Notamacropus eugenii: one gene and its partner. The protein of the gene in region 1 binds, or shares a complex with, the protein of each later gene. Links are inferred from orthologs where the notes say so. Each region holds a gene or a part of one and is shown on either strand. Other genes may lie near its edges.

Evidence for each region.
Region 2: the proteins of FN1 (region 1) and COL1A1 are in contact, whole or in part, in a crystal structure (PDB 3GXE), measured with the Homo sapiens proteins. The link is inferred for Notamacropus eugenii from reciprocal best matches to the Homo sapiens genes FN1 and COL1A1. Residues at the interface, in NP_997647.2 of Homo sapiens: Asp516, Gln517, Lys533, His535, Glu537, His539, Leu541, Gly549, Arg550, Gly551, Arg552, Trp553, Lys554, Cys555, Pro557, Gln560, Phe569; in NP_000079.2 of Homo sapiens: Leu261, Pro262, Gly263, Met264, Lys265, Gly266, His267, Arg268.

What each region holds. Positions count from the first base shown.
Region 1 is NC_092877.1:313,455,351-313,465,827, forward strand, and holds the start of FN1 (fibronectin), read right to left. Parts: upstream 4,775-10,477; 5' UTR 4,443-4,774; coding exon 4,280-4,442; intron 3,114-4,279; coding exon 2,985-3,113; intron 1,946-2,984; coding exon 1,808-1,945; intron 1-1,807. UniProt on the Homo sapiens protein: Fibronectins bind cell surfaces and various compounds including collagen, fibrin, heparin, DNA, and actin. Fibronectins are involved in cell adhesion, cell motility, opsonization, wound healing, and maintenance of cell shape.
Region 2 is NC_092873.1:350,355,587-350,366,435, forward strand, and holds the start of COL1A1 (collagen alpha-1(I) chain), read left to right. Parts: upstream 1-5,493; 5' UTR 5,494-5,633; coding exon 5,634-5,715; intron 5,716-7,366; coding exon 7,367-7,564; intron 7,565-7,874; coding exon 7,875-7,909; intron 7,910-8,012; coding exon 8,013-8,048; intron 8,049-8,145; coding exon 8,146-8,238; intron 8,239-8,339; coding exon 8,340-8,408; intron 8,409-8,727; coding exon 8,728-8,772; intron 8,773-9,148; coding exon 9,149-9,202; intron 9,203-9,732; coding exon 9,733-9,786; intron 9,787-10,424; coding exon 10,425-10,478; intron 10,479-10,820; coding exon 10,821-10,849. UniProt on the Homo sapiens protein: Type I collagen is a member of group I collagen (fibrillar forming collagen).

The DNA of each region.
Region 1 (10,477 bases):
TCCTAGTTATAAGATATTTGATCTTGGGTAAGTCATCTCACTTCTTTGAAATTCAGTTTCTTCACTCTAAATGGAGATAACAAAATTTCTATTCTATTTCACTAGATTGTTATGAAGAAAAACACCTTGTGAGATTAGGAAATACTCCAGAAATGTGAGATATTACTGAAATGTCCAAAATTTCCTTGTTTAGAGATGCCAAAAGGTATAAGCTATTGTTAATTGTTCTTATTTTTTCCAGCCATTTCACAATGGAGTATCTACCAGAAAATGTGAATGGTTGGTGAGGGACCTAGTCACAAAATCTCAAATCTTCTCTTCCTTGGAAGATCACAAAAATCTAATTCCTAAGATCAGATTGAAGTTAAAAAAAAAGAATGAGGAGGATGGGGTGAAGGTGCTTCACCCTCCAACAGCTGTGACACAGCTAGATTAATCCTAACTCTAATTCTGATGTAGACAACATTTCATATCACCTCTCCTTTCTACAGTGGGCAGAAACAACACTAGAGAGTTACTTTCATGCTTATCCAGTCTAGTAAACTTGGGAGTAGATTACAATTTTGGGGAAAGCATCATAAAGGTAAACCTAAGTGTGTACTGTATTTTTATTTTCCCAGAAACATTAAACTCATTGATGCATGGAAAGAGCACCATATTTGGAAACCGGTGACCTGTGTCCAATTCCTGACTCTTGAGCTTATGGCTTATGCTACCTTGGGCAAGTTAATTTATCAGAGACTCAGGTACCTCAACTGTCAAATTAGAGAGGATTAGATTGATGGAATCTTCTGTGCCTAAACTGATGATCCTAAATCAAGAAAGGTAAGCATGAAATATCCTTGAGAGAGAGAGAAATAGAGAGAGACAGAGAGAGGAAGGTGGAGGAGAAATTTTAGAGAAAACCCTAAGCCCTTAAATTTGGATATTTCCAAACTAAAGTATTAAGAGAACTGGTTTGGACTAATCATAAATGAATGCCTGAGTATTGTGTCTCTGACTTTTAAATTGATAAAGACGTAAATAGACACACACACACACACAACCTTCTAGTTTAATCAGCTAATAAGATGTAGCAGATCAAATTTAAATGAATTCCTTGACCCTATTAGAACTACCCTTACTGTTAGATACTTTGGGACATTTGATTGTATTTTCCCTTCAGAAATACAGTTAAGGTCTATTTTCAGAGTAATGTATTAAACAGTAAGAAATTGGAGTGTATCCATGAGCTATAGTAATGAAAACATAAATGACATATGAATGAAATTAGTTGCCCCCCAAATTTAACAGCTTCTGAGGATCATAATCAATTTGGATTGTGAAAAAGAACAAAATGAATGGATCAGTCATACTTATGATCAGGTTAACATGTCACATATGAAGATACCAAAAATATATACTTTTTCTCTTAAATCTATGTCACATCAAACAGCTGGCTTATCTGTTCTAAGTAGAGAATGGGCACCAGATAATTTCTCAATTAATTTATATTCTGAAGTGGAGCTGAAGACACAGACACAGGTACATATGCACGCGCACACACACACACACACACACACACATACTCCAACATACATTCCACTTTGTGTTCAGAAGCTCATATCCTGACTGGACAGCTGTGTAAAAGTAGCCCAGGATGCTCACGGGTAACCACAAATGCTTTTTACCAATAGTAGAAAGTTGTCTGTGATCGGAATTGAGTTCATACTTATAGAGAAGGACACACTTTGTCTTTACTAAGTGAACTTTTCCAGAAGGTACTGGCTAGTACAATGAAAAGAAGTCATACTGAAGTGTTCCTTACTTGCAATGGTACAGCTGATTCTCCCTCGACCAGCCCCAATGCAGGTACAATCCCAAATCATGGAATCTTTTGGGCGCTCATAAGTGTCCCCGACTCGGTAGGTGTTTCCAGTATATTTGTCAAAGCATGTTTCTTCAGCTGAGAGGGAAGATTAGAGGAACAACTTTTACATTCCTAGAATCCCATCTGTACAAAGACCCATTTCCCATTCTAGAGGAGACAGAGCAGAGTGGATGAAGAAAAGCAAAGGACATGGATTGAGGAGATTCACATTTTCCTCTTGGTTCAGATAGTGCCTCTATGGCCTTGGGTCCTCAAGTTGTTTTACAACGTGATTTCCATTGTAAAGAACAGGTGTCATAAAAGCTGCTGTGCTTTTGACACACTCCATGCTATTAGGGAAGAAATTTGAGATATAGATGCTTGCCTCAGGAAGTCAAACTGGAGTGCTATACATAAGTCTACAGTTTATTAATTCCTGCCCCACCCCTTCCCCCATTGGGCAACTAAATTTATTATTTAATACTGTTCCCACAATAGTCATACTAATGCTTCTTTTGGATGAGTTTTGACAGACTTAAGGAGAAAAATATCAATGATTACAAAGGGGGAAAGTCTATTTTAAGAGGTCAGATTTAAAGATACAATTGACATCACTTTTCACATGTAAGGGGATTTGATCCTCCTAATATGGTTTCTAGTCCACAAAAACTGCTTCTCTGCAGTTTAAACACTTACGACGTTAAGAATCTAAGTTGTAGAGAAAAGGTGTAAACCTATGTGATTGAGGGAGTTTCCTCAACTGGGAGGTCCCAATGAATTCACAGATCCAGTCCCTTTTCTTTACATATTTAAAATCTCCTACCACTTTCCAGGGATAACTATGCATTTTATCTTGTGGGCAAATAACACGTATATTTTTCATTAAATTAGGGAATAGAAGAGACTTAGGAAGCAATTTGTTTTATTCTTTTTTAAAAGTAAAATTACTTTGACATTAGCTATCACCTCTAAGACAGAGATGAGTGTACAAAGAACTTACTAAATATTTTTAGAACTTAAAATTGTACATTATGTAGCTCTGAACTGAGGAAAATGCCCTAGAATTTTAATTTGTAATTTCTTTGTCTAGTTAATTAATGATCAGCACTTCTCCATCTAACTCTCTCTCACTTACGTTCAGGCTTGCTCTCACAGTTAAAACCTCGGCTGCCTCCATAGCAGGTACAAACCAGTGCGTTTCCCAAGTAAATGCGCTCCCATTGTTGGTTGATCTGGTAGTGTTTTCCATTGTCATAACAGCCAGCTGCAATGAATTCACAGGGAAAAAAACGTATCATCTATTATTGACTTTCCATTTCATGCCTGGAAACTTTTCTACTTAACTAAATTGACAATAACGAAATAAAGAAACTAAATAGGGTTAATAAGAAACTAACAATGATAGGAAGTGAATTGGAGAAGTGAGCTCTAGCCTTCAAAGCATCATAAAAGCTGAGAGAGCGAGACAGACAGACAGACAGAGACAGACAGAGACAGAGAGAGAGACAGAGACAGAGAGAGACAGAGAGAGAGAGAGAGAGAGGGCGCAGATCATCCAAAAGCAATGAGTTTAAAAAGTTGTCTAGCAATCTTTGGGGCCAACAGAAATCAAGTAGGGGTGAGTTTTGGGTATTGTTACAGAACTAAACGTTACTTAGTGAAACTATTTCCAATTGACCAGAAGTGAAAAAGTTTCTTAAAAAACCAGAAGTTGGAGACTTGACTAAAAAGAAAAAAGAAAAGAAAGTTCCCACAAACCACATTGCCATTGTGGAGGTAAATGGAGCAGTGATTAATGACAGAAACATGTCCCACTCAGCAAGTTTTAGTGGTTTCCATTAGACCATTGAAAAAACGGTTCCCTTTCAAAGCTGGAAAAGAAATTCCCTCTTCCTTACACGGTGAAGTATCTCCAGGGGCTGAAGGCAATTTGAACCAAATGCCCAAGTTTCAGAGCTGGCTAAAGAACAGTAGCAGATTTTGCAGGCACTCCCTCCCTAACTCCCCTACCTATCTTCCTTTCATCTTGAAAACGTTACACCAGTTAAACTTACGGAAAGGACGAAAATGCAGTGTCCATAAAAGTCAACCAAATTTTGAATGGACATTTTGAGAAAACGCCCATTGATCTGATTCTTCCATAAAGTCCTAACTGGATAAAAAGGCATCCGATCTATAGGACTGATGGGCTTTCCAACGAAATACACCGCTCCCACCCCACCCCCCAACAAGCATCCCCAGTGAATTCTTAGATCCTTTAGAGAAGGAACCCAGAATTCCAACAGCAGCAGGCACTCAGGTCCCTGAAATGGCTTTGTTCCTACAACTGGATTCTTTAAGGCATTCATTAACGGACCCAGAAAAGTTTCCTCCAGCAACTTTGGGCGACTTGTCCCGTCCTGGGAGAAAGCCTCCGAGAAAGCTACTCACTTTTGCTTTGGCTGACAGCCACCGGGGACGGAGGCTGAATCATTTGCTGAGTTTGCCTCCGGTTTTTCTTCGACTTTGCGGCTTGCACCGAGGTGCCCAGACATAGCGCAAGGAGCAGCAGCAGCAGCAGCCGCCGCCCTCCCGGGACGGGGTCCCTGGGCATCTTGCAAAGCGGGGACTGAGAGAGGCTCCTGCAGAGACCAACTGCTCCCCACCCTAAGTTTCTGGTTTACTTGGCAAGCCGCGGGAGAGCAAGCTGCATGGAGCGCTGGCCGGCCCTAGACTTCTGCGGGAAGGTAGGGAACCAAGAGTGGGGAAGGGGAGGGAAAAGGGACTGGGGAGAAGCACTGAAGATGGGGCTGCCGTGGGTCCCTCTGCTCTCCAAGGCAGTGCGCCTCTCTCCACACCCCTCGAACCCTGCAGCCTGCCGGAGCCGGAGAGCCCGAGCGCGCTGGGGTTTATATGGGACCCTCTGCTCCCGACCCCCGCCAGGCCACTGGCGAGCCGGGGTAGGTGGGACCCGCCCGATTCCCCAGCCGGGGCCAGCACCTCGCCCATTGGTCCAGGGGCCCCCTGACGTCACGGAGGGAAGGCTGTACCGGACCGCTAACAAAAGAGATGCTGATCGCGGGCCAGGAGGTGGGGAAAAGAGAACTTTTTTGTTTCCTTTAACAGTTGCCCAACTTTTTACTCTCTCTTCCCCCCCCTTTTGTGGTAGTGGGCAGGAGAGAAGCAGGAAAGAGTGGTGGGAGTTGTGTGAAGTGAGGGTATTCCAATTTTTTTCTCCCTTCTCTCCCTCTTTTTTTTCTTTCTTTCTTTTTTTTGCTAGTTTAAGAACATTGCATCACTTCAGCAGAAAAAGTCTACTCACTCCAGTGGTATTTGTGGGAAGACAGACCAAAGTCACCAACCACTTCCCTTCTGCAAAGTCCAGAGGTTGCCCACCGTCCCAGGTCCAGGCTGCCCCATGTTGGCTTCCCTCGTACTCTTCCCTCACTTTGGGCTGTGGTTCTGGATTGGGGATTCTTTCTGTCTTCATTAGGTATCCTTCTTGCTCAGCTCTTTCTCTCTCTCCGTACAAATGCCACACCTGCCAAGCCCTGGGTGAGCTCTGAACAGTTGAAAGGCATGGTCAAATGAGATCTATTGGAGGTCGGGGAATGAAAGCCAATTATTTCTTTTTTAAATATATTGTTAAACATATTGTTTTTTAATTTTTAAATATGTTGTTAAATAAGATATATTGTTAAATAAGATATCGTGTCATCTTCATGGGCTATCAAAAAACAAAAATAAAAATAAAAACCAACCTGAGTGAAGAAGGATAAGCAGAAGCAAATAAACACCTTCCATTTTCAAGACAGAGAAAAGCAGAATGACTCTAAGAGAAAGACAGACATTCTCTGCTTATACAAAAGGTGCACTATACAAAAAGCATGCAGTCTTCTGGACTGTAGAAGAAAGAGCACTGGACTTTGATTAGTCAATCAATACACTGTTATTAAGTACCTAGGTGTGGGGCACTGTCTTAAGTGCTGCACTGATTTGTTTTCTGTTTAGATCTTAGGTCATAGAATTAGAACTGGAAAGGACCTCATAGGCCATTAAGTATAATCCTTCCCCAAATAAGGAAACTGAGGCACAGATAGGTTAGGGTCTTGCCCATCCTTACACACCTGTGTGTGTGTGTGTGTTGATCCTTCATTGCCCAAGAAGACCATGCCATCAGAGAAATAACAACATGACTTGCCCTTGACTTTGTTTTGAGTGAGGGAGGGCTGTGCAGGTCACCAGCCTCACTTCTCCTCCAGAACCATCTGAATTCAGTGACCAGATATTCATCAGGATGACTGGAGATGACCCAGGATGAGGCAATTGGGGTTAAGTGACTTGCCCAAGGTCACACAGCTAGTGAGTGTCAAGTGTCTGAGGTGAGATTTGAACTCAGGTCCTACTGACTCCTGCACTGGTGCTCTATCCACTGCAACACCTAGCTAGTGAGGTGGAATTTGAGTCCAAGTCTTCCTGACTCAAGTCTAGTGTCCTATTCACACCACCATGCTATCTCCCTAGGTGCTTGTAGCTTTGTGATCTTGGGAAACTCATTTAACTCTTAAGGGCCTCAGTTTCTTCATCTCTAAGCCTAATCCTGTCACTTACTATCTGTGTGTCCTTGGACAATTACTTCATTTCTTTAATCTTCAGCTTTCTCTGTGTATCAGAGGAGAAGGTGCTTTCCCACTCTAAATCTCTGATTCTCTGGATGAATACAATATGGATAGATGGAGATTGTTAGCCAAAATGCATTTCTTAGTCTGCTTTCTTTTTTCTGAATGACTTGTGGAGCCATCCACTTGATCAAAGGAAAATAAAAAGGGATTCAACCATTTTCCATCTGAATTACATTTTCTGTGAGAACACCCTCCCACTGAAAAGATTCCTCCTTTTCCCTCTAGAATCATTCACTGGGCAGGAAGGGAACATTGAAAAGTCATGTTGAGAAGCCTCTTACTTCAGATAGGAGCAGGTCTCCCATTCTCTACTTCAAGAACGCATGATTTGGATAGGGTGAATACTCCTTCCTTAAATATTGATCATAAAATCTAGGACTTGGCAAGGTGATTTTTGAAAGTTGCTATACCTAAACATTATTTACCATGCCAATGGCATGTTGGGGAATGTTTGACAACTGGCTCTCTGGGGGAATATACATACTCACAAACATACACACACATATATATATATGCATGTATGTGTGCATATACATACACATACATACACAATATACTTATACACACAGCACATTTTTAAGCTTAATCTGCATTATTAAGATTTTTTCCATCATCAGTTTCTTAATTTTAGGTAAAGAATGAAACAATAAACCAAATCCTGATTTGTAGGCTCTCACAATGAAAATCTAACAGGCTTTCCTGAGTTTGCACAAGCTGGCTCACCACTGCACGTGGCCAACTTTGTGATCAGTCTTTCAAAATTCAGGCAGGCTAGCCCTCAAACAATAAGCATGTGGTCTACATTTAATGCCTCTTAGGCTGGTATGGACCTATCTATCAATGCTTGGACTTCATGGAGATAGCCTTTGAAAACCCAGGGTCACCTAAATGCTCTGATGGAAAATGAGAATAGGACATTAGGCGACTTTCTTGACAACTCAAACTCATTCTTCCTTTAAAGGCTTTCAGAGAAGAGTCTGCAGCCTCCTTCAGTAACCAAGATAGGCCAAAACCCTGGAAGTTCTGCACACTTACAAAAGAAAGGTATGTTAATTATGTTTTCTTCGGGAAAAAAATCAGTTTCACTGGTAGCAAGTAAGCAAGATATTTTTCCTCCCAAAATCCCACATTCAGCTTTTTCCATATTGCAATCCTAATGCTAGTATTTGGAAAATATTTAGCCTGTTAAAATGACAAAGCAAAAGCTTTTTGTCAGTGATAAAACAACAAAAAGGAGAATAGTCCAAAGGGAAATATTCCAAAGGAATATAGGTTTCCTACAAGAAGTACAAAATAATCTCTTGTGGTACCACTGCGACTGACATTTTAAGTTGGAAGAGCATTGTGGATTTTCCCAAACTCAGAGCACTTGGTCACGGTCTGTTTGGTCTGAGTTTTGTGGTTTTTTTGGTTTTTTTTTTTTTAGGTTCTCATCATTACCTGACAAAACAGTGTTTTTCCTTTAAAGGTAAAAAAGACTCATTGTGGAAGTTCTAGCAAGTTTCTGGGAAGCCAGGTATTCCCAAGCAAGGATACCTGGAAATCAGTGTATAAGCACAATAAACATACAGTAGAAAGTTTACTTAAAATACATAGATTCTGGGAGAAGGTAATCAGTGGTTAGGGAAATATTTAGTGAACTAAAAGCATTAGAGTTTGCAATATTTTCTCTTCCCAAAATGCATTAGAATAATATGCATACAAGACCGTAAAAAAAAAACCACCCACTCTAAAACTAAGAAGCTTCTACAACTTCATTCAGATGGATGATTCAAAAGACTGAGAAAAAAATGTCATTAGTAAAAAGGAAGAGATATTTGACTGCACATTATAGGGATGTCAAGATAGTTTTCTCCTTTTATTTATTTGAAAGATTCCCCCTCCCCTCACTTTTAAAAACTATTGGTTATTGAGACATTTCCTTGGTTTAGATAAAAAGCGTTACCACAGTTTTCTTTCATTACAAAATCACTTGTAACTAAGCTAGTCTGTTATCTCGAACTGGAAAGAAAATTAAATCTTAAAAACTACATTGATTCTTGGTTTGCTTGCTGTTCATTCCCAACTGACATGTATAGTCCCTTAAACTGACTTCCTGGGAACTGTGAAGGATATTTTCACAGGGTGGGGTGCACTGTGGTAAATAACCTTCCCTCTCCCCACTCCTTCCATGGAATATCACTGAGTTTCCTTTATTTATTTGAGCTCCAGGCAGAAAAGCATAACAGAATGCAATGGATTTTTAAAAATACTATTTTCTACATTTAATTTTTACCATCTTGATTTTTTTCAAAGCCACTTCTAAGATTAACAGTATAGAAAGGGAGTCCTGACTTTTTTTTTTTTTCATTTTCCTAAGAGAAAGTTTTTCCTTCATCAAGGACTGGCTTTCATCTCCTGTACTGTACATTGAGACAAATGATTTGTTGAACCAATCTTAGGTCTTGTTTCTGGATTTCCCAAAGCAAGCTGAATTTCAATGTCTTTCAGAGAACAGGAAGACTTCTTTGTTTCGAGTAACTGTAAGAAGAAAAGCTGTTTGTGGTTTCATTGTTTTTATTTTTTAGTTGAAAGAAGTTAATGGGAAGGAAGAGTAGTCATGTGCTTCTGAATTTAATTTCCTTGAATTTTCAGTCGAAGATTATGTTTATCATATAGAAGAATTAATATATAGCAAAGACTTGCTACCCCCCATCCCAAGAAAAGTACCAGAGCTCGTTAAGACTTTTTTAAAAGGGTCAAAATAAATTTTAAAATATTGTTGTTTACTTATTTTAGTTGTGATCCACTCTTCAACCTACTTGGAGTTTTCTTGGTAAAGGTACTAGAATGGTTTGCCATTTTCTTCTCTAGTTCATTTTACAGATGAGGAAACTGAGGTAAATAGTGTTAAGTGACTTGACCAGGGTAACACATCTAGTAAGTGTCAGCGGTAACATTTGAACTCAGGTCTTCCTGACTCCAGATCCAATGTTCTATCCAATGTGCCACCTAGTTGCCCAGATTAAGGAATAAATATGCAAAAAAGTAAAATACTAACAATGTAAAGTCCTTGAGAGCAGGGATAGTTTCCTCCTTGCCTTTGCATCTCTAAGCATAAGCAAAGTGCCTGACACATAGTAGGCACTTACTTAATATAGCCTTATTAAATTGAATTGAATTGTTGGACTCTTGCTTTTTTTTCAAATTGAACAATTTTATTTTATTAGAGCAGATATTAATCACAGGCAACTTTCTTGTCTCTGAATCTTTTGTTCGTACAAATTTTAGCTTAGATGATCAATGATTTCCTGATGCCTCTAGAAGGTAGTAAAAAAGGTGGCATTTCTTTCTTGAACATGTTTGCATTCTATCCCATTTTTAATTTGTTGAAGGACAGGTGATAAACAAAATGACCCCTAGAGGCTCCTTCAGTTCAAAGGATCCATGACCTTTTTACGATTCAGGACACAGTGAGTTCTTCCTGTCTTAGGCTGGATGAAGATGAAGGGGGTGATTTTCTTTCCTTATGTTGATTTAAACTAAGTCCACAGATCATCCTATTACCTTTCCTTGAAAATGCCATTCATTAGATGCAGGTGTTGAACCTGACTACTTAAAGAAACCAAGGCTTATCAAGTAACTTTTTGTGTGTGTTAAATACCTGAACAACTTTTCCTACAACTGGCTTGGTGCTCAAAATGATGTGAGAACACACATATAAGAGAATATGATTTTTGCTTTGAAAGTTAATCAATTTTCATTTAATTACCATTCTGTTTATATATTAGGTTAATCGATTTTTAGTTAGCATTAAAAAAAAAGCAAACCCATTCCTTTGTTTCTTAACAGGTGAACCCTTCTGGTTACAGTAGTGTAATTCCCAGGCGACTTTTCAAAATTAACATTAATCTAATAAAGCTAAACTGACAACTGTAAAGTATGTCCCAAAAGTCTTAGTGCAGTTGTATTTTATTAAAGTTGAACT
Region 2 (10,849 bases), on another chromosome or scaffold:
GGGTTCGAGCTCAGTTCTGAAGGAAACCAGGAATTTTAAGAGGCAGAGGTGAGGAGGGAATGCATTTCAGGCATGAGGCACAGCCTTTACAGCTGCATTGAAGCAGGAAATGGAATGGCATATATAAGGTAGAGCAGGAAGGCCAACCTGACTGGAATAAAGACTAGACCAGTGAATTGCTGTTAGAAACTCCCAGGAGGTAAAATACTCTCTACCAAAGATAGTTGCATGGAGTGTCACCCAGAACAGCAGTCAAATTGGAATAGAAACCTGGGCCACTAAACCTTACACAAGGACTCCAGAGAACTGCATACTGACTTAGAAAACCACATATTAATATTAATGGGATTGGGCTTGTGAGTGGCTGCTCTACTTCCAGCTTGTATGACTTTCTAACTGAAAGAAAGAAAAGAAGGAAGAAAGAAAGAAAGAAAAATGAAGGAAAGAAAGAGAGGGAGGAAGGAGAGGAGGAAAGAAAGGCAAGAAGAAAGAAAGTTAGAGAGAAAGGAAGAAAAAAGGAAAAAAGAAAAAAGAGAGGAATGAAGAAAAGAAGAAAGAGAAAGAAAGAAAGAAATGGAGAAAAGAGAGGAAGAAAAGAAGAAAGAAAGCAAGAAAGAGAGAAAGGAAGGGTAGTAAAGAAAGAGGGAAGAGAGAAAGAATGGAAGAAAGAAAAATAAAGGAAGAAAGAAGTGGAAGAAAAAGAGGAAGGAATGAAGAAAGAGAAAAAAAGAAGGAAATGATGAAAGGAAGGAAAGAAGGAAGAGAAATAAAGGTGGGAAGAGAAAAAGGGAGCAAGGGAGAAAAGAGAGAAGAAATGGAGGAAAGAAATGAAAAAAGGAAAGAAGTAAGAAAGAGCAAAGAGAGGAAGGAAGGAAAGGAAGGGAGGGAGGGAAAGAAGGAAAGAAAGAAAGAAAAAAGGAAAGAAAGAGAAAAAAGAAAGGAAAAGAAAAGGGAAGGGGAGAGGAAAGAAGGAAGGAAGAAAGTAATAGAAAGAAAAAGAAAGAAATAGAAGGAGGTAGGGAGGAAGGAAAGATGGAAGGGAGGGAGGAAGGAAAGGAAGAAAGAAAAAAGAAAGGAAAGGAAAATGGAAGGGGAGGGGAGAAAAGGAAGGAAGAAAAAAGAAAAAGAAAAAGAGAAGGAAATAGAGGGAGGAAGGAAAGGAAGGGAGGAATCTAGAACCAAAAGATCTGTTCCAATGCTAATTTTACCATTTATCACCTTGGATCCTAAACAAGTCACTCGATGTCTCTGATCCTGTCATGTCTGCTGTAAAATGAGGTGCCAACATCAGTTGGGACTAGCTGAACAAGTTAGAGCATATTAATATAAGGGAATGTTATTGTGTTGTGAAGAATGATCAAAGAGAAAAGTTCGGAGAAGGAAAGATTTGTATGAACTGACGCGGAGTGAAGTGAGCAGAACCAGAAAACTTTATGCCATAATAACATTATAAAGATAAACAATGCCGAGAGACTTAAGAATGATGATCAGCACAATGACCATTCATGATTCCAGAAGACTCGGGATGATGCAAGAACCTCGCCTTCTAGAGAGGAGAAGGACTCAGGGTGCAGAATGGGACCTAGATTTTGATTATGGACAGTGTGGGAATTTGCTTGGTTTGACCAGGCATGTTTGTTAGAACGTTTTGGCTGTGCTTTTTTTCCTTTTTTAAAACTGGAGTGAGGAGAGAGGGAAAGAAAATAAATGTTTGCTAATTGAACAATAAAATAAAATGGAAAAATTAACACGGCTGAGCTAGAAAGGGGGCTAAGATTTAAAGTCAGAAGACCTTAGTTTTGATTTCAACTTTATTATTTTCTGCTACCTTTGTGGCTGTGAACACAGCACTGCTCTGGCCACCTCAGTTTTCTCATCTGTAAAATGAGAGGATTCAATTTGATGACCTTCAAGATTTTATCTTTCATCTTTAAATCAGTGCTTCCAAGTGGTCCTTCTCATTCTAAAACCTATGAACAATAAGATTGATGGTGGGGGGAGAGGCACAGCTGGAAGGAAAGAGGAGCTCCAGATGCGAGGGGGAAGGGGCGTCACCTACCTCATCACACCAGCTGTGCCAGTGCCTCAGGTAGCTCTGTCCAGATGTGCTTGACGTTTTCACATTATAAGGGAGCCCAAAGGAGGAGAGCAGAGAGAGCAAATCTGGGGAGGGGGAGATGTGGAAAAGGCTAAAGTGAGATCACTATCTCTTTAGGTCTTTTTCTTCTGGGGTGTGTTGAGGGGAGCCGGGCAGGAGGGAGCTTTGGGGAAACTTGGAAAGTGAGAGAATTCAGAGCTCAGCACTTTTCAACCCTTTTGTTTTTCTTGCTTCTTGAGGTGATTTTTTTCCCTCCTCTAAAACGTTGATGATTTTACCATTTCTTGGGGGGAGGGGGGGAATGGGTGGAGATTTCAGTCTGTTCTCCACCCCTACCCCCCAGCACACACATGCCAATCATGGAGAATGCATTCCATTCCCGAAGAAGCCTGAACTTCAGAGTTTCCTAAAGATGAGGTGGCGTCTCCCCCCAAAGATCCCCCTCCTTCCAGGCCAGCAGGGCTGGTCTATGAGGAGGAGGGGAGTGAGGGGGAAAGGAGGCAGCTCTGCCGGCGTCGGCACGGCATTCTTCCCTTTGCCGTCATCCTGTAGAAATTAAAGACACATCTTCAGGTTGGCTGCTGGCCAAGTGTTTCAAGTCAAAAAGGAGGAGAAAGAAAAAGAGGAGGAAGAGAAGGAGGCCCCAAGCCAGGACCCTCGCCTTCTTCCATGCCACGTGTGTATGGAGCTCTGAGACGCATGGATGATGGATAAAAGAATCTTGGACCAATATGAGAATGGTTGTCACAACACATACACACACACACACACACACACACACATACACACACACTCCACCCTTCCTTCTCTGGGAGGACTTTGACACATTCCTCACGACTCTAGCCCCATGGTATGACAAACAGCCAGTCTACATGTGTGATGAGTTGGTGTTCTCTTCAGGAGTGGTGGGGAAAGGAACAGTTAGGGGCAAATATAGCTAAGAGGTGGAGTCAAGGGGATGATTTCAGTCTGCCTACCCTAAGGACCTACAGGGGTCATAGTCCCCCCATAGGCTATGGCAGAAAAGGGGATAAGGAAGGGTACCGTCTTTCAATTCCATGTGCAAGCTTGCACACACACACGCACCACATACACATGCACCACACACTACTGGGTCAAACAACCATCAAGACCCCTAACCCCTTAACTATTTCAAGCATCCAATTTAAATGAGGGTAATGAGTTCATGAGTGTTTTGGTGGAAGGGATAGCATGCTTTGCAGTGAAGAAAATGTGTTGGAGTGGAATACAGTGGGAGCACAGAAAAATCTCCTTGGGAGAAGGAGCAGGAGACTCTCAGCCTGAGTCACCCTTCCTGGACCAAAGGGCTCTGCAGATGCTCTAGGGCCAACTCCAAGCATCTGGGAGGTGGGGTGGGGCGCAGGGCCACAATGACTCCAAGAGGATGCCACATCGGAGCAGTAATTGGAGCAGACTCCCCCCCCATCTGTCTCCAAGCCTGCCTCGCTGGAAACTCTATATTTTCCCCTTTAATTATAGCCCCTAAAGCCTCCCCCCCCCTCCACTTATGGTCCCGTTGCCCATATCCTACGTGGCTTCACTTGCCTTGTTCTGGCCCATGTATTTTTTTTTTCCCTCTCTGGTTTCTTGCACTGCACAAAACCAGCTGGGACTGGGGGGAGAGGGGGGCGGGGGCGGGAGAACTCTGGAATCTTGGAAGGGTTTGGGGGCGGGGCTCCCCCTTCCACGTTAGCAGCCTGGGAGTGACTTTGAATGGGGGATATGGCGAGGGCTGCTATTGGGGTCGAGGGAAACAGGTGTGCGGGGTCCACTCTGGTCCCTACCAGAAGGAGTTAGAAGGAGGGGACCTGGAGTACTGTGGAATAAGTTATACTGGGGTACTGTGGGGGCAGGTCTTGGGGATTTGAAAGAACTGGGTAATAAGGTCTGGGGACATAAAGGCACTGCAGATTCTAAGGAGTCTAGGATTGAGGAAACTCTAGAGGTCAAAGCATCATGATGGTCCCTCAAGGAATGTCCCCCAAATGTACACCAAAGCAACCACCTCCCCACTTTCGAGAACTTATGACTCACTCTGAGGATCTCTGCACAGCTCTGAAGGAGCAAAGAACTTCCTCCTAGCTCCTAAGAGAGGAGAGAGATGGTTTCCTTCTGAAAACAAGAATCATTCAACCACCCCCCACGCACAATTCTGCCCCAAATCCCGCATATAATACAAGACATTGTTTAAAAAATAATTTTCATGTGTGTGTTTTAGCCAAAGCTTTTCCTTAGACACCCAGGTCCATCCCCACAAACCCACACCTCACATACACATTCTACAATCCCTGGAAGGAATACATACCTAGGATGAGGACAGGAAACACATCCAAAGGGAGACCCTTCTTGCTAAATGTGCAGCCCTCCGTTCCCTTCTTGATCTGGGGTAGTTCCCATCTGCCACCCTGAAATCATCTTTTGAGCAGTTAAAGCTTTCTCTAGAAGAAAGCAATACCCTTTCTGACAAGTAGTCAGTTACCCAACAATTCCCAGGGATCTTCTCCACCAAGTCACAGACACTCTCACCTTGGTACTCAGAGTAGAGTACGATACCTCTCCGTCCCTCCTCCTCACCTCCTTGTAGTCCCAGATGTAGGAGGCAATTGAGATGGGGAGATTATGTTCTCAAGTAATCCTTCCCCTAACCATTCAGCAACCCCCAATCCTTTCTCTTGCCTTGAGATGATAGAGACCCCAAACTACCACCCAAACTCCCTGCCCAAGCCCCAGACATGGTAGCCGGAGGATCCCCCTCTCCAAAGGGGGACCCCCTTGTCAAATTTCTCACAGACATTTACTTCTTACCATCTAGGACCAATGACCCTTCCCTGTTCTCCCAAATGTCACCAAACCCCCAACAGACGACACTCCCTAAAGAGGGGCTCTCCCTTTTATTAAGCATTCCACCTGCTTTGATGGAGGGGGCTTTCCTCATCCAAGTCTCCTCATTTCCCTCTTTAGTTCTTCCTCACGATTTCCCTTTTCCCCAGTCCCCCCCAATCCATTCCGCTTTTGTCAGTGGTTGCTCCCCATTCAGAGGTCTCTGATCTCTTTTTTCCCCCTATAATAACCCCCCAAGTCTACACGGAGAACCCAGCTCATATTCTAGCAAGCCGTATCTCTAGGCTGGGCACATCGGGGGGAGGGGGGAACCGAGAAGACAGAAAGATTGGGGGGGCAGGGAAAGGAAAGGGCAGATTCTCTTCTCTTCCCTCCTCCCACTTCTCCCCCCTCTCCCTCCCCTCCCTTCCAACTCCCAAATTGGGGGCCGGACTGTGAGGCCCTGATTGGTTGGGCAGCGGGTGGCCCGTTCCCCCTCTCAGTGGGGGCTGGATCCCTCCTTCCCTGGGATCCCAGGACAATATAAAAAGGGGCCCAGAGCAGGCATTGTAGCAGACGGGAGTTTCTCCTTGGGGTCTGAGCAGGAGGTACCCAAGAATCTCAGGCCGCGCATGAGTGGACGGTAACCCCCCAACCCCAAGCCCCAAAGAGTCTACATGTCTAGGACCTAGACATGTTCAGCTTTGTGGATCCCCGGCTCCTGCTGCTCTTAGCAGTCACTGCCGTCCTCACCCATGGCCAAGACGAAGAAGACAGTAAGTTGGAAACTTTTTTTGGGGGGGGGAGGGAGAGGAAATGCATGTAACTGGAGTTCATTTATCAGCTCCCCGTTAACACACCTCCTGAGGACCCCCTACTTGAGCTGGATTGCTCAGGGTCTGGAAGGCTAGCAGGAGATGAGATTTCTAAGGGAGTCCTCATAGACGAACGAGTTTGAGGCAGTAGGGGATATAGATTTTTGAGGGAAGGGTGATATCCCATCAGAGAGGAACAGGTTGAAAAGAAAGCTCACAGCGAGTTAGGTGGGTGAGAGGGCTCAAAGAAGATCCCGTGGACAATAGGACAAGTATCGTTGGGGCTTTTAGAAGGAGAGGAACTTGGGGACAAATGGGGTCTGGGTGGTAGACTAGGATTACTGAACCCAAAATGCAAAAGCCATCAGGAAGGAATTAAGGATGATTCATAAGAAAAACGTTTTTGCAGACTCTGCAGTCTAGACGCAGTTCCAAGCTCTTGGGATGCTTGGGGTCCACTGCAAGAGGAGGGGTGGAGTGTGAGAGGGGTGGGGGGCTGCGGGGGTAGGAGGAGGAGAAACTTGAGTGGGGCGGGGGCAGGGTGGAATTCCAGCGCCCTCTGCCGGCCCCGTGGGGGGAGGGGAGAGAGGTTACCACGCCTCCCCTTGCGTCCAGGGTAGCGGGACATCCCAGTGCCTCGCCCGCTTCCTGGGAGGTGGGCGGGGGTGGTGTGGGAAAGGGGGAGCTTGGGCAGGCTATCTGGGCAATTGACCTCCCCTTTTCTCCGACTCGTGTCCATTTGCTAGCGCTGCGTGCCACCTCGTGGTGAACCACTCTGTTGCACGCGCGGGGGATGAGGAGAGGGACTAGAATCGACTTTTTGCGGAGTTTTTGATTTTTCTTATTGTTTGGTTCAGTCACTTAAAGACCCAGAAAGGGCTTATTCAGGGAAGAGAGGGCAGGGCGCGGCCATTGGATCTTGCTTTGTGGGTGTCTGTTTATGATGAGAGAAAAGGACCAAGGGGGTCAGGAGTAACAGGATAGACGTTAGGGCGTGTCTGTTGGTTTGGAGGAGCGCAATAGTTTTTTGAGGAGACTCCCCTCCCTTGCTCCTCACTTTAATTCGCCCTCCCCCAGAGCACTCCTCTTTCTCTCCTCCCACTCTTTTCTCCATTTGTCTCCACCTGCCTCCTCATGATCCTCTTCCTTCTCCTTGCCATCCCTACCCAAATCTCCCCTCTTCCACACTTGGGGCCTTTTCTGTTCCATTCTCTCCCCACTCTCCCCTCACCCTAACTTTTATTTGACTTGGCCTCGCCCCAATGAACTAAGGTCGGAACTTGATGGAACAACTGGCCTAAAGTTTTGTTTAAATTCCTAAACTGGAAAGAGTTAGAATGTCTCTGGCCCTGAGCCTTTGCTGTCACTGAGCCCCTGATGAGAAGCAGATGAATCTTAAGAGTTGATGGGGGGCGGAGCGAGGGAGATGAACAGATGCTGAGGATATAGGAAGTGAGAAATCCAATGCTTCCCTGACTCCATGGAAGAGGGAGGAAAAGTAGAGGAAAAGTAGGACCCCTCTGGAGTACTGGGTAGAAAGGTACTTGGGTTTCCCTTTTCTCCCCCTACTCCCATCCGCTACTGATCCACCACTTCCAACTTTGTCCCCCAGTTCCAGAAGGCACCTGTGTACAGAATGGTATAAAGTACAACAACGGGGAAGTATGGAAACCTGAGACCTGCCAAATCTGTGTCTGTGACAATGGAAACATCCTGTGCGACGAAATAATCTGTGAAGACGTTTCCAACTGTCCCAATGTAGAGTACAAGGACGATGAATGCTGTCCCTCCTGCCTTGGTGCCGATGCCGGTATGCCCCCCTCCTCCTACCTACCCAATCCCCCCCCCCCCTTCCCCACACTCCATCCCACCAATCAGAGTCCCTCTTCCTTTCTGTTCACTATCTTTCCTGATTCCACAAGTCCATAGAATGGACCTGCCTCTCTTCTCTCTCTCTCTTCCTCCCCACTCCTTCCCCCATCCCACCCCACTCTCATTCAGTCTTCTCTGACCACTAGAGGTCTTGGTTTTTAATAGGGGCCTGAGGTAGGGTTCTAGTCTTCCCCTACCCCTCTGCTGCCAGAGTCATTCTCTGATTCCTTCTCTTGTCCTCTCTATAGCTTCACCATCCTCTCCCGGAGAAACAGGAGCCGAGGTAAAGAATAGTCCTTAGTTTTTTGCCTCACTCATGAATATCCCCTCCGTTGCCCACCCACTTGTCTAAACCTTGTTCCTTTCTTTTTCATCCAATCTCACAGGGTCCCAAAGGAGACACTGGACCCCGAGGTGAAAGGGTAAGCTTTTAAACCTTCTTTGGAAGTTTGGTGGTGGGCAGTGAGTGTGGGGCCTGCTTTGTGGCTGACATTGGCATTTGCTTTCTTTCCCTGGCAGGGACTTCCAGGCCCACCTGGAAGAGATGGCATCCCAGGACAGCCTGGTCTCCCCGGTCCCCCTGGTCCCCCTGGTCCCCCTGGCCTTGGAGGAGTAAGTATACAATCAAGTCACTCTTGAAAGGATTTTTCCTCCCTTCCATCAACTGACCTGACCCTTTCCCTCTCTCTCTCTCTCTCTGTTTTTTCCTCTAGAACTTTGCTCCTCAAATGTCTTATGGCTATGATGAGAAATCAGGCGGCATATCTGTGCCTGGACCTATGGTAAGCTCACTAGGGCAAAGGGAGGATAGAAAAATAATCAATCAATAAACATTTATTAAGCACCCTACTATGCGCCAGGCTCTGCACTGAGTACTGGGGATACAAAAAGACGCAAATAAGTTTGGAGACATTGGGAAGGGGTAGGGGCCAGAAGGGCAGTCATCTCCAGATTTGTTTGGTCTTGTTAGGAGACAAAGATCCTTTCTGGGATTTCAAGGATAGGTAAAGGCAACAGAGAACCCATGAGAAATGAAAGATAAAGGTATTCTGTGCCTTGCATTTTCCTTTTGAATTCATCATTTTTCTCTTTTCTCCTTAGGGTCCCTCTGGTCCTCGTGGTCTCCCTGGTCCCCCTGGTTCACCAGTAAGTATCTGTGGTCTTGCAGTCACTTGAGGATCTTCAGTCTGAGTCTCTTTTAGGATTCTACAGGGAAAGGGTAGGGGAGAGGTGTTCAGGATTCTCTTTCTGGGACATTCAGATGTTGTCAGGGGCCCTATAGTGCCTGCCTCTAGCAGGTGAGAAGCTGGAGGTAGGAGGATCGTGATGGCCGTGGGGATGCTAATTAGCTTGATGGAGATTGTGTGAATTAGCACAAAATAGGCAATTAACACATAGGTGCTAAGTTTAAATGAAGGTGGCGAATGAAGAGGCTAGTGGACAGTGCTGACACTAGCAGGGATGAGAGTCATGTGGTGATGACATGTCTTTCTCATGCTTCCCTAATTTCTTTCCCCTCCAGGGTCCCCAAGGTTTCCAAGGCCCCCCTGGTGAACCCGGTGAGCCTGGAGCTTCTGTAAGTGGTCCTACCAACTCCCTCTTCCTGCCCCTCTCCTTCCCCCATTCATCCAGCATGTAACAAGAGTTTCATTCATATACACGTCTCCCTCCTCCCACCCCAACCCCCCCCCATATATATCTTTCTTAAGTGAAGGGTGTCTTCATCTTAATAATTAATATTTGTATGGTGCTTTATACTTGGCAGAGCACTTTACCTATTTGATCTCAGTTGATCCTAACAACAGTCCTGCGAGGTAGACTCTAGAATGACCCCCTTGTATAGATGAAGATACTGAGAATGAGAGAGGTTAAGTGACTTGTCCAGGACCACACAGCTGGGAAGTGTCTGAGGCAGATTTTGAACTCAGTCCTTCCACATCCAGGGGTGTCTCTACTGTGCCACCTACTGTCTCTTCTTGCATACTTTCTCCTGTTTCATTCAGATACATTCTTGACAAAGTGTTTACCCATAGGTAAATGACTTAGCCCCCCATGTTGCTCTCTCTCATACCAGGATGAGCCTCACCCTTTCTGTGTGTCTTCTAGGGTCCCATGGGTCCCCGAGGTCCTGCAGGTCCCCCTGGCAAGAACGGAGATGATGTAAGTAATTCCCAAGATGCATACTACCCTTTATCCCTCCTCTTGCCCACCACAAAGAAGCCTGCATGCCCTCAATGCCACACTTCCCACCAAAGGGAGATTGTTGTGTTGAGGAAGAGGCATTCAAGATGGAAGATGGACTCCTTCCTGTTGTACAACCACTTTGGGGTCACCTGGGAGCATACTTTGCCTTTAATCCTCAGGGAGAATTTTCACCTTCAGTATTTCAAGCATAGACTGCTTTCTCTTTCTTGCACAAAAAGTCCCTAGACCATACTAAGAGGCTTGTAACTAAGCCAGAGAAAATGGCTTGGCTAGGCTTCTTACTACCTCAGAGCAACTCAGATTTGTACCCAAGTCTATGAGTCTGGGACGTGGATTACTTAATGACTGATTTTAATAAAGGAAACATTTAAGCATTTAATTTGCTCCTAGAGCTAAATGAAATCATATTCGTTAAAGCCTGACCCTTAGGCCTTAATAACTCCAAAAAATCTGGGATCACCCTAAGCTTCCCCTGATTCACCAGTTCAGTCCAGTTCCTAACTGATAAGCAATAGTTTGGCACGACAACAGGAGACTGGATACAACGACCCTTAACAGAGGCTCACCTTGATGTCTTCCTTTCTTCCTTTCAGGGTGAAGCTGGCAAACCTGGTCGTCCCGGTGAACGTGGTCCTCCTGGTCCTCAGGTGAGAGGGGTCTTGGGAGAGAAAAGCCTAGAACTCAGGCTTCTGAGACTTCCACTGTTGGTTACTTAATTGTGCCAGTATCATCCTGAAGGTTCCCCTTACTGATCATTGTGAGTCCTACATGGACTGCCTCTTGCCACAGCTTTTAGATTTTAGTAACTCACATATCAAGAAAGGTGATGGAGCTTAGGATGCGCTTAGGTGTGAGATTGCCCTCACCTACTTGTCTGCATTCAAGAAGTGTACTCCATGAGGGGACCCTACACCTTTTACCTAATGGGCTAACCCTTTCATTGTCTTCTGCCTTTATTTTCTCATCATCCTTCTATTATTTCCCTTCAGGGCGCTCGAGGTCTGCCCGGAACTGCTGG